Linked DNA regions of Saccharomyces cerevisiae S288C. Changing the gene in region 2 together with the main gene of any one other region gives a genetic interaction. Each region holds a gene or a part of one and is shown on either strand. Other genes may lie near its edges.

Region 1 (3,468 bases), on a different chromosome or scaffold from region 2:
GAGCTACACCAGTATATTTCGGAACAAGAAAAACAAGCTTTGAAGGCAAAACTATTAGAGGACCTAGAAAAATCCCAACACTTAGAAACCAAAAAAGACAAGAATTATATTAAGGCGCTTTTCAAGGACGCTTGTAATTTTTTGACTTTATCTGAAGAAGTACATTTGCGTAGGAAATACTTAAAGTCGGTCTTCCCCGAAACAGATAGTACGGTTGAAACCAAAAGCGGGAAGAAGTCAATTGTGTCTAGACGTTTTGATTACACCAAAAATAAAGTTGAAGTCATTGCTAGAAGTAGGCGGGCTTTTTTGAGCAAGCTTTGATTTTCTTTCCTTACGCACAGTATGTACACATATAAAATGTTTAAGAATGCCTGTAAATATTACTATTTTGTCGCGCAAGTAGCTAAACCTTTCGTCTACACGAAACTTAAAATTTAGTGCTACATGCAAGGGAATATGTTTATACTGTACATTCTCGTCTTCCTTTCATTGATGATATGCATCGCGATTGCTTTCATTTTGTGAACAATCAATTAACTAAAATGCACAGGATAGTAAAATCTATATTTACAAAAAGGCGGATAAGCAAACACTGAAAATCATAATGTTTTTTGTCACTTCGGTCCTTCAAGCTTGGTAGTTGATAAATTGTAAACTATACATCGTTTAATGCGACACATACAGCTCCCTTGTGGTGTCCACCGTACTGTCTGACAATTTCTCTAGTTGATAAATCCCATAATCTCACGTAATGATCGGACGATGCCGTTACTAGATACGCACTGTCAGCACTAAATGCGCAATCCCAAACCCACCTTTGGTGGCCATCCAATGTCGTTTCTAGCTTAAAATCATCATCAATCGACCACACACGAGCAGTGTGATCCGCTGAACATGTTGCCAAATGTTTTACATCAGATGATAGTAGAATTCTAGTTATATATGTGGAGTGCGCTCTGAATTTTGTTACCGGTTTTAGATGGGATGCGTCAGTATGATTTGGCATTTCCCATACGTAACAATTACCTTTAGTATTTGCTGCCGCTAACATCGAACCATCACTTGCCATAGATAAAGACTGGAGAGAGGTATCGTCCTCAGGTGTCAATTGATGGGTACACTGATTTTCTCCTAAGTCCCAAATTCTTATATTACCATCTCTATCACAAGATATCAACTCGCCTTGGTTAGGATGAATTACGACTTCATTTACTGGTGCGTTATGTTTGTAATTTCTAGGAATGGACGGAGAACGCACATCCCAAACTTTAATGGTCCCATCTTCGCTAGAGGTCACCATCCATCTGTTGTCCTGTTGAAAAGAAACGGAGGTAACGTTTCCCCGATGACCCTCAAAGGATGCTACTGGATTGGGATTTGTCGTCCGAATGTCATAAAGCCGTACGTTTTGATGGCCTGCTGTTGCCAACAACTTTTTATCGTTGGTGATTTCTAAGCGATTAACCTGTGAGTCGGAATGCTGAATTGTTCTTGAACAAACCCCAGTAAGAGCCTCCCAAAATCTTATTGTGTGGTCATAGCCAGCAGATACTAAGATAACAGACATCAATCAGAACTCCTTTTTTATATGGATGACAAGACTGCCACGTTGATCGCTGCGCTAATAATATATGGTTGTCGCACTCTTCTATAACATGATCAGTAATAGCTAGTCGTTACTTTTCTGAATCTTAACGTATTGTGTTACCCTCTTTGGTTTATATGAACGTTCCAGAAACTTCTGGAAAAAGAATGGGATATCCTTTTACGGGTTTTTCAACCACTGTCAGCACAAACTCCTTGCCAAGGTAGTTCGAGATTTAATATATATTGTATAGATTTCTCGTCCCTTTACCGTATTGTTAATCCCTTTTTAAACTTATGCGCTTTCTTGTCAAAAATTCTAATTAATATTATTTAAGCTCTTACACGAATTCTTTTAACGACTTAGAATTGTATAACCATCCAGAAACTCTTCAGAGGATAAAGGATAAGTTGTTTGCATTTTAAGATTTTTTTTTTAATACATTCACATCAATATAATAGAGTATAGTATACAGAACTAATAATGGTCAAGGAGACAAAACTTTATGATTTACTTGGAGTATCTCCAAGTGCTAATGAGCAAGAACTGAAAAAGGGTTATAGAAAAGCAGCTCTAAAATATCATCCAGATAAGCCAACAGGTGACACAGAAAAGTTTAAGGAGATATCAGAGGCCTTTGAAATTTTAAATGATCCTCAAAAAAGGGAAATATATGATCAATACGGTCTCGAGGCTGCTAGATCTGGTGGTCCAAGCTTTGGTCCTGGTGGTCCTGGCGGTGCTGGAGGTGCTGGAGGCTTCCCTGGCGGTGCGGGCGGATTCTCCGGAGGACATGCGTTCAGTAATGAGGATGCTTTCAATATTTTTTCACAATTCTTTGGCGGCAGTTCCCCATTCGGTGGTGCTGATGACAGTGGCTTCAGTTTCTCTAGTTATCCATCTGGCGGCGGTGCTGGTATGGGAGGTATGCCTGGAGGAATGGGAGGAATGCATGGCGGCATGGGAGGTATGCCTGGCGGCTTTAGATCAGCATCAAGCTCTCCCACGTATCCAGAGGAAGAAACAGTTCAAGTTAATTTACCAGTTAGTCTAGAAGATTTGTTTGTTGGTAAAAAGAAGTCATTTAAAATTGGAAGAAAGGGCCCACATGGGGCCTCTGAAAAGACACAAATTGACATTCAATTAAAACCGGGTTGGAAAGCTGGTACCAAAATAACATACAAGAACCAGGGTGATTACAATCCTCAAACGGGCCGTAGAAAGACTTTGCAGTTTGTCATCCAGGAAAAGAGCCATCCAAACTTTAAAAGAGACGGTGATGACCTAATTTACACTCTGCCACTATCTTTCAAGGAATCATTGTTAGGTTTTTCAAAAACTATCCAAACAATTGATGGCAGAACCTTACCTTTGTCGAGAGTACAGCCTGTCCAACCCTCACAAACTTCTACTTATCCTGGTCAAGGTATGCCAACTCCAAAGAACCCATCTCAGAGAGGTAATTTGATTGTAAAATATAAAGTGGACTATCCAATATCACTAAACGACGCTCAAAAACGTGCTATAGATGAAAATTTTTAATAGTAATCCTAAGCAAATATAATTATAAACTCAAATAAATTTATCACCACAGAAATCATATAATATACATCATTAATTTTGACTCAATAATCTTAAATTGCGCGGTGCGGTGCGCGGTAAATTAAAGTTTTTGTATGTCTGCATTACCCTGCCCTCTGGCATATAAATGATGTATGTAAGGAATGGTTGACTTGACAGAAGGTCACCGAGAGGCTACAATTTGTCAGGAACAGTCATTACGTAGGGATTTTCAAAAGTTTGACTGATGTCTACAAATATATTGCAACATGTTAAGCAATTGCTCCATAACAGAGATGTATTTAGCTTTTTTCACAACA
Region 2 (3,758 bases):
CAAGGAAGGAATTCGACAAACAGGTAGGGGTGTAGAATCAACCAAGGCGCTTTTAATTTCGTTAGTGCCCTTCTTCTTGTAAAGAAGGCGACCACCAATACCTAGGTCTCTGTCTAGCCACAATTCATTCAGTGTACCTCCATAGGGAGCAACAGCAATTCTTCCGTAACCTTCCGCTGTGTCTTTAAAGGAGACGGGCTTCAATTTGACCGTCAAAGCGTCCACATGAGATCCAATGACACCGACACCCTTTTCGGCTCTCCAGTTTTTGCCCAGGATAAAGGCAGATAGGTTAGTTCCATTTCTTATAGTGTAGAATTTCCCACCATCTTCGCCAATGGAGTCCTGCCAATTGGATTTCTCGCTCAAGTATTTGAAGTTATGCTTATCTAACAGCTCCGCGAAAAATGATACTACATGGTAAGTGGTAGGGTTCTTGTAAATGAAATCAATGAATTCCTGTGCAATATCCTCATAATTGTGCTCGAGGATGCACCACGAATTTTCATTTTCTTTCTTTTCCTTTTCTTCGTTGGCGATTTGGTTATTTTTAGATGGCTCTACAGTTAGCATCTGCAGAGTTTTCTTCAATTGTTCCAGTATTTCACGTTGTTCCTCCATTCTTTTTTTCTTAATTTTGTTGGTTGTGCAGGTTTCTACAATTGCACTAAGATTACTGATCAGGCTCTATACAGTGTATGTCTTGTTCTGTGAAGTCAACTGCTTATAAATGAATTTTTATTATCTAATGGAACGATTAAGGGGTGTGTCAACTATTTCACTTAACCCTATTCTTTCTTACTGTCGTTTGCTTGCATAGCCTATCTTACAGTAATAGAGGTGCAAAACAGCATCACCCCTAGTTGTTTTTCCCGAAAAACCTATCCCAGATTATTTTTTTTTTGAATTAGACAAGAAATCATCCGAAGACCTATTATGCTTCTGATTAAACCTTGAGAAAAACGGAAGTTTGCAACCTATACCCTAAAGTAGAAGCTGACTAATTCATATTCCTCACGAAATGGTGCGACCTCTCTTTATCCATGAGAAAAGGAAGGAGTGGGTTCTTGTTTGATGCTTCTTTATCTGATACCAACAAGCGCAAGAGATAAGGGATTACAATGTTATCATGCCTCAGAAAGTAATAGGATGACATTTTCTTGCAAACGTTGACATTAAAAACATAAAGTACCTTACGGCGTTCGGAGCCTACAAGCCTGCCACAATTTGAGCCGCTGCACAAGAGAACACCGAATGAACAACTGGCTGCAGCTGTCGATGAAACCTCAGCGAATAAAGCACACATTTGTGCGTTTTACAATAACAGGGAAGGTGGAATGTGTTGCCTTCGTCCTTATTTTTCGCGTTGTGAAATATTTTTACTAATTTTTCTTTTCGCGTGGTCATTTTCGCGTTGGGTTGTTTGGGCTAAATAGTGAAAACTAATCTCCATCACGTACCGTACCGTCTTGTACCGGCTGGGAGCAGCATTATAGTGGCCACTCTTATTGGCGTTCTTAATATAAGCAAGTTACCTTTTGCTCGAAACCTGTTTCTTCTTAAAACTCCCTTTGGATCGTAAGTTCGCTAGTTATCCGACTGCAAGGACGTAAATTGGACAGCGAGAGGCCATTAAAACAGAGAGTTGAACTCAAATAGATCATCAAATAGGTTGGATATCCATCATACTACTTGCTACTAATCGCGAAAAGAGATAAATAATAAAATTACAAGAAAGACAAGGTAAAAAGAACGACATAGATTTGCGGGACAAAAAATACTGATAAATAAATCAACAACCAACTATATTCACTCCTTTATTATTTGTTATTAATATTTTTTATTTTTACCACACGACATGACTGGTCACGTTTCAAAAACGAGCCACGTACCCAAAGGTCGCCCGTCTTCATTGGCCAAGAAGGCAGCTAAAAGGGCCATGGCCAAAGTAAATTCGAATCCAAAAAGGGCGTCGGGGCATTTGGAGCGTGTTGTACAATCTGTGAACGACGCTACCAAAAGATTATCTCAGCCCGACTCTACCGTAAGTGTTGCTACAAAATCATCAAAGAGAAAATCCAGAGACACGGTGGGTCCTTGGAAACTTGGCAAAACATTGGGGAAGGGATCTTCTGGTAGGGTTCGCTTGGCTAAAAATATGGAAACAGGACAATTAGCTGCCATTAAAATTGTCCCCAAGAAGAAAGCCTTTGTTCATTGTTCTAATAATGGAACTGTTCCTAATTCTTACTCTTCTTCCATGGTCACTTCCAATGTATCTTCTCCATCAATAGCATCTAGAGAACATAGTAACCATTCTCAAACGAACCCATATGGCATAGAGAGAGAAATAGTAATCATGAAATTGATATCTCACACAAACGTTATGGCATTGTTTGAAGTTTGGGAGAACAAATCAGAGCTGTACCTAGTTTTGGAATATGTTGATGGTGGCGAATTATTCGATTATCTGGTCTCGAAGGGAAAGCTACCTGAAAGGGAGGCTATCCATTACTTCAAGCAGATAGTTGAAGGTGTTTCCTATTGTCATTCTTTTAATATATGCCATCGTGATCTGAAGCCTGAAAATTTATTATTAGATAAAAAGAATAGGAGAATCAAAATTGCTGATTTCGGCATGGCAGCATTAGAGCTTCCTAATAAACTTTTAAAAACTTCATGTGGCTCTCCACACTATGCGTCTCCTGAAATTGTTATGGGTAGACCATATCATGGCGGTCCTAGCGATGTCTGGTCCTGCGGTATCGTTTTATTTGCATTACTCACCGGTCATTTACCATTTAATGATGACAACATCAAAAAGCTGTTGTTGAAAGTTCAATCGGGCAAATATCAAATGCCCTCAAATTTATCTTCTGAGGCTCGTGATTTGATATCAAAAATATTGGTAATTGATCCAGAAAAAAGAATTACCACTCAAGAGATATTGAAGCATCCTCTGATCAAAAAATATGATGATCTCCCAGTTAATAAAGTGCTGAGGAAAATGAGAAAGGATAACATGGCGAGGGGAAAATCTAACTCGGATTTGCATTTGCTAAATAATGTCTCGCCCTCTATTGTAACTTTACATTCAAAAGGGGAAATTGATGAATCCATCTTGAGGAGTTTGCAAATTTTGTGGCATGGAGTTTCTCGTGAACTAATCACTGCCAAGTTGCTTCAAAAGCCAATGTCGGAGGAAAAACTATTCTACTCACTGTTATTACAATATAAACAACGTCACTCAATATCATTGTCCTCGTCAAGCGAAAACAAGAAATCAGCAACAGAAAGTAGCGTAAATGAACCTAGGATTGAATACGCATCCAAAACTGCCAATAATACAGGCCTAAGGAGCGAGAACAATGATGTGAAGACTTTACATTCTCTAGAAATTCATTCAGAAGATACTTCAACAGTGAATCAGAACAACGCAATTACAGGGGTTAATACAGAAATTAATGCCCCTGTATTGGCACAAAAATCGCAATTTAGTATCAATACGCTCAGTCAACCTGAAAGTGATAAGGCTGAAGCAGAAGCTGTAACATTACCACCCGCTATTCCCATATTCAATGCTTCTTCATCAAGGATTTTCCGTAACTCATACACCTCTATTTCATCACGTTCGAGAAGATCGCTACGCTTATCGAATTCCAGATTATCATTGTCCGCTTCAACTTCTAGAGAAACTGTGCATGATAATGAGATGCCTCTACCTCAACTGCCGAAGTCGCCTTCAAGATATTCATTGT
Region 3 (3,521 bases), on a different chromosome or scaffold from region 2:
TCTTTCCAAGTTCTCTCTGTTAGGATTTTGAGATCTGGAGTATTCGTAAGTACCGATAGGGTTAGCTGGAGAAGATTGTTTGAAAGTGGTGGACAAAGAAATGGGTTCGATCACGGAACCGTGAACGTCCACATGTTCACCGGCATGAATGGCCTTGGTAGCAAATTTATCAGATTCTTGTAGAGTCATATTTTTTTTGGTTTTGTCTTGTGTGTATATGTATAAGGTGCAAATGTCTATGTGTATAGGCCTCAATTGTACTTTCAAAATTCAATCTGGCACGGCACAAGTTCCATCTACCTGGCATCTTATGCTTTAAATAACTGAAATATTTTTTTCTTTTCTTTTCCTCGAGGATTTTTATGGAAAAAAAAGTGTGGCGCCACAACTGGCTGAGATCACGTGAATGGCTAATTATTAGTAATGAAGGGTGGAATTACATAGCGTTACAACATATTTAAGAATAACAAAAAGAAGTGGTATGGGGTCCAGTGTGGCGGTCACTGGGCCCACTGGTGGAAGTCGTCGTTGATTTCGGAGTCTCTAAGCGGGTTCAACTCAGGAGCACCCGGGAAGGAGTGGAAATATTTGCGCAGGCCTTCGAGGTCGCTAATCTCGTTATTGAGCCTCATTCGGTCCACAATGACTTCGAGTTTGTCCACCGGGTTGGCTCTGTAGCGGTACTCGATGCTTTCGCAAGCGAGGTCCTCTGCCACGGGCTCGCCGGGATAGCACAGCTGTGCTGCGCTGGCGTAGCCCGTGATACAGCTCAGCGTCTTGTTATCAAGTTTGATGGGGACGTGGTAATTGACATCTGGGATGACTATATCCATATCGCGGCGCTCCTTGTTGATATCGTACCAGGTCTGCGTGGTTCTGTTCAGCAGCCTGGCTCGCAGGTCGGTGACCTTCTTGTGGAAGTCCTGGTGAATGAATGTCCTGGTAGCGATTGTTTCTGTGTTGATGCATGAAAGCTCGTACTTCTGTCGCTGGTACGCTCGGTGTAGCTTGTAGTCACGGATCGCGGCAATCTTCGAGTAGTAGACCTGCAATTCCGGGTGTGACCCTTCCAGACACATCTGCAGCTCCGTTTGCAACCGCACCAATTGATTGTCATATAGTTTTTGGCGCAATTGCGCGAACTTGTACTCGATGTCGGTGATTTCCTTCAGCGCAGTCATCCTCTGTTCCTCCATTTCGATGGGGGAGGGCATCACCAGCGCAGGCGGTGCTGTATGCTCGTTTTCGTTTTCATTATCCTCCTCGTTGTTTTCCTCCTCATTATCACCTTCGTCCCCTTGCTCGTCCCTGGCGTCGGTGCTCTTCTCCTTGCTGTCAATTGCCTCTTCCAGTTCTTGACTCTTTTCCTCTTCCTTGCTTTCGTCCTCGTTCTCTCCCGGCACTTTCATCTTCTTGGCCTCATCTATCGCCTCTTTCTCATCTTCGTGTGGTCTTTTCAAGCTCTCGGTGAGCGTCTCTTGCTTCACCAGGCTGGATAGCTTGGGAGCGTATTTCAACTCCGGCAGATTGGCCAACGACTTCTCCTCGTCGCTATCCATCTTCTCTGTTCCTGCGTCACTGGATATACAGTATTCCGATAAATTCAAATTGTGATTCAAATCCGTATTGAAGTCAATGTTGCTCAACACGCTCTCTTGATCAAGGTCCTGTTCTTTCGCTGTGGTCTGTTCACTTTCCTGTGGTGTTTGCTGACTCATCTGCCACGATCGATGCGCCTCCTCTTGCTTCTGTGCTTCCTTCCCTTGTACTTTGCCGTTGCACTGTTATGAGTTTATTATTTCTAAAAATCATTTTATAAGAATAAAATTTCCCAGCACGACTTTGATCACCCGAAAGGGCAAAAACAAGTAAAGAACAAGAAATAAATGCTGAGACTTTACAATGGAAAACGAATAAAGCATAGAGACAGATCTCACGACAGCAAATAGATGCGTAAGCACACACGGTATGGATGTGTTGAAGCTGGGTTATGAACTGGACCAGCTCTCTGATCTGGTCGAAGAAAGAACAAGGCTAGTGTCGGTGTTGAAGCTCGCCCCGACCTCAAACGATAACGTTACTTTGAAACGGCAATTGGGCTCAATATTGGAGTTATTGCAGAAGTGTGCGCCCAATGATGAACTAATATCCCGATACAATACCATACTGGACAAAATTCCTGATACGGCGGTTGACAAGGAGTTGTATAGGTTCCAACAGCAGGTGGCAAGAAATACTGATGAGGTGTCCAAAGAGTCTTTGAAAAAAGTGCGGTTCAAGAATGATGACGAGCTTACGGTCATGTATAAGGATGACGATGAACAAGACGAGGAGTCGCCGCTGCCTTCGACGCATACTCCATACAAGGATGAACCATTGCAATCGCAGTTACAGTCACAGTCACAGCCACAGCCACCACAACCCATGGTTTCCAACCAAGAACTATTTATTAACCAGCAACAGCAGTTGTTAGAGCAAGATTCCCACTTGGGCGCACTGTCTCAGTCTATTGGGAGGACTCATGACATTTCGCTGGACCTTAATAATGAGATCGTTTCTCAGAACGACTCGCTGCTGGTTGATTTAGAAAACCTGATTGATAATAATGGTAGGAATTTGAACAGGGCCTCTCGGTCCATGCATGGCTTTAACAATTCTAGGTTCAAGGATAACGGCAACTGCGTGATTATTCTTGTGCTGATAGTGGTGCTCCTGTTGCTTCTATTAGTATTATAACATTATATTCTGTTTTTTAGGCTCGAATACGAAGTTTGGTTTTGATCTTTTTTTTTTTCTTTTTCTTTCACTTAGTAATAACCTCCTCTTTAATGATTCATCATATATTTGTATCTATATATACTTTATAGCCCAAAAAAAAAAAAAATATGCAAAAGATCAGTAAATACTCATCTATGGCAATTCTGAGGAAAAGACCGCTGGTAAAGACTGAAACTGGGCCAGAATCAGAACTCCTACCGGAGAAAAGGACCAAAATCAAACAAGAAGAGGTTGTCCCTCAACCCGTGGATATCGACTGGGTTAAATCGCTGCCAAATAAGCAGTACTTCGAATGGATTGTGGTTAGAAACGGCAATGTGCCCAACAGGTGGGCCACACCATTGGACCCCTCGATCCTTGTCACTCCGGCCTCGACGAAAGTCCCTTACAAGTTTCAAGAAACATACGCTAGAATGCGAGTACTGAGATCTAAGATTCTAGCCCCCGTCGATATAATTGGTGGATCATCCATTCCTGTAACGGTTGCCTCTAAGTGTGGTATCTCGAAAGAGCAGATATCACCGAGGGACTACAGATTACAGGTCCTTCTTGGGGTGATGCTATCATCGCAAACAAAAGATGAAGTTACCGCAATGGCAATGCTTAACATAATGCGGTATTGTATAGACGAACTGCACAGCGAAGAAGGTATGACATTAGAGGCCGTTTTACAAATCAATGAGACCAAATTAGACGAATTGATTCATTCAGTTGGGTTCCACACAAGGAAGGCCAAGTATATT

The links.
Region 1: mutations in HSL1 (region 2) and LST8 together harm fitness more than expected from each alone (negative genetic interaction), as found in Saccharomyces cerevisiae (4 studies listed by BioGRID).
Region 3: mutations in HSL1 (region 2) and DEP1 together harm fitness more than expected from each alone (negative genetic interaction), as found in Saccharomyces cerevisiae (4 studies listed by BioGRID).

The regions. Positions count from the first base shown.
Region 1 is NC_001146.8:618,169-621,636, reverse strand, and holds LST8 (TOR complex subunit LST8), read right to left. Parts: upstream 1,571-3,468; coding exon 659-1,570; downstream 1-658. Other genes in the region: mitochondrial 54S ribosomal protein bL27m MRP7, read left to right, coding at 1-324; type II HSP40 co-chaperone SIS1, read left to right, coding at 2,072-3,130; putative ubiquitin-protein ligase ASI3, read left to right, coding at 3,396-3,468. UniProt on the Saccharomyces cerevisiae protein: Essential component of both TORC1 and TORC2. TORC1 regulates multiple cellular processes to control cell growth in response to environmental signals. Nutrient limitation and environmental stress signals cause inactivation of TORC1.
Region 2 is NC_001143.9:247,062-250,819, forward strand, and holds the start of HSL1 (protein kinase HSL1), read left to right. Parts: upstream 1-1,858; coding exon 1,859-3,758. Other genes in the region: metalloaminopeptidase APE1, read right to left, coding at 1-621; YKL102C (uncharacterized protein), read right to left, coding at 1,001-1,306.
Region 3 is NC_001133.9:127,467-130,987, reverse strand, and holds DEP1 (Rpd3L histone deacetylase complex subunit DEP1), read right to left. Parts: upstream 1,719-3,521; coding exon 501-1,718; downstream 1-500. Other genes in the region: cystathionine gamma-lyase CYS3, read right to left, coding at 1-189; SYN8 (syntaxin), read left to right, coding at 1,969-2,736; bifunctional N-glycosylase/AP lyase NTG1, read left to right, coding at 2,886-3,521. UniProt on the Saccharomyces cerevisiae protein: Component of the RPD3C(L) histone deacetylase complex (HDAC) responsible for the deacetylation of lysine residues on the N-terminal part of the core histones (H2A, H2B, H3 and H4).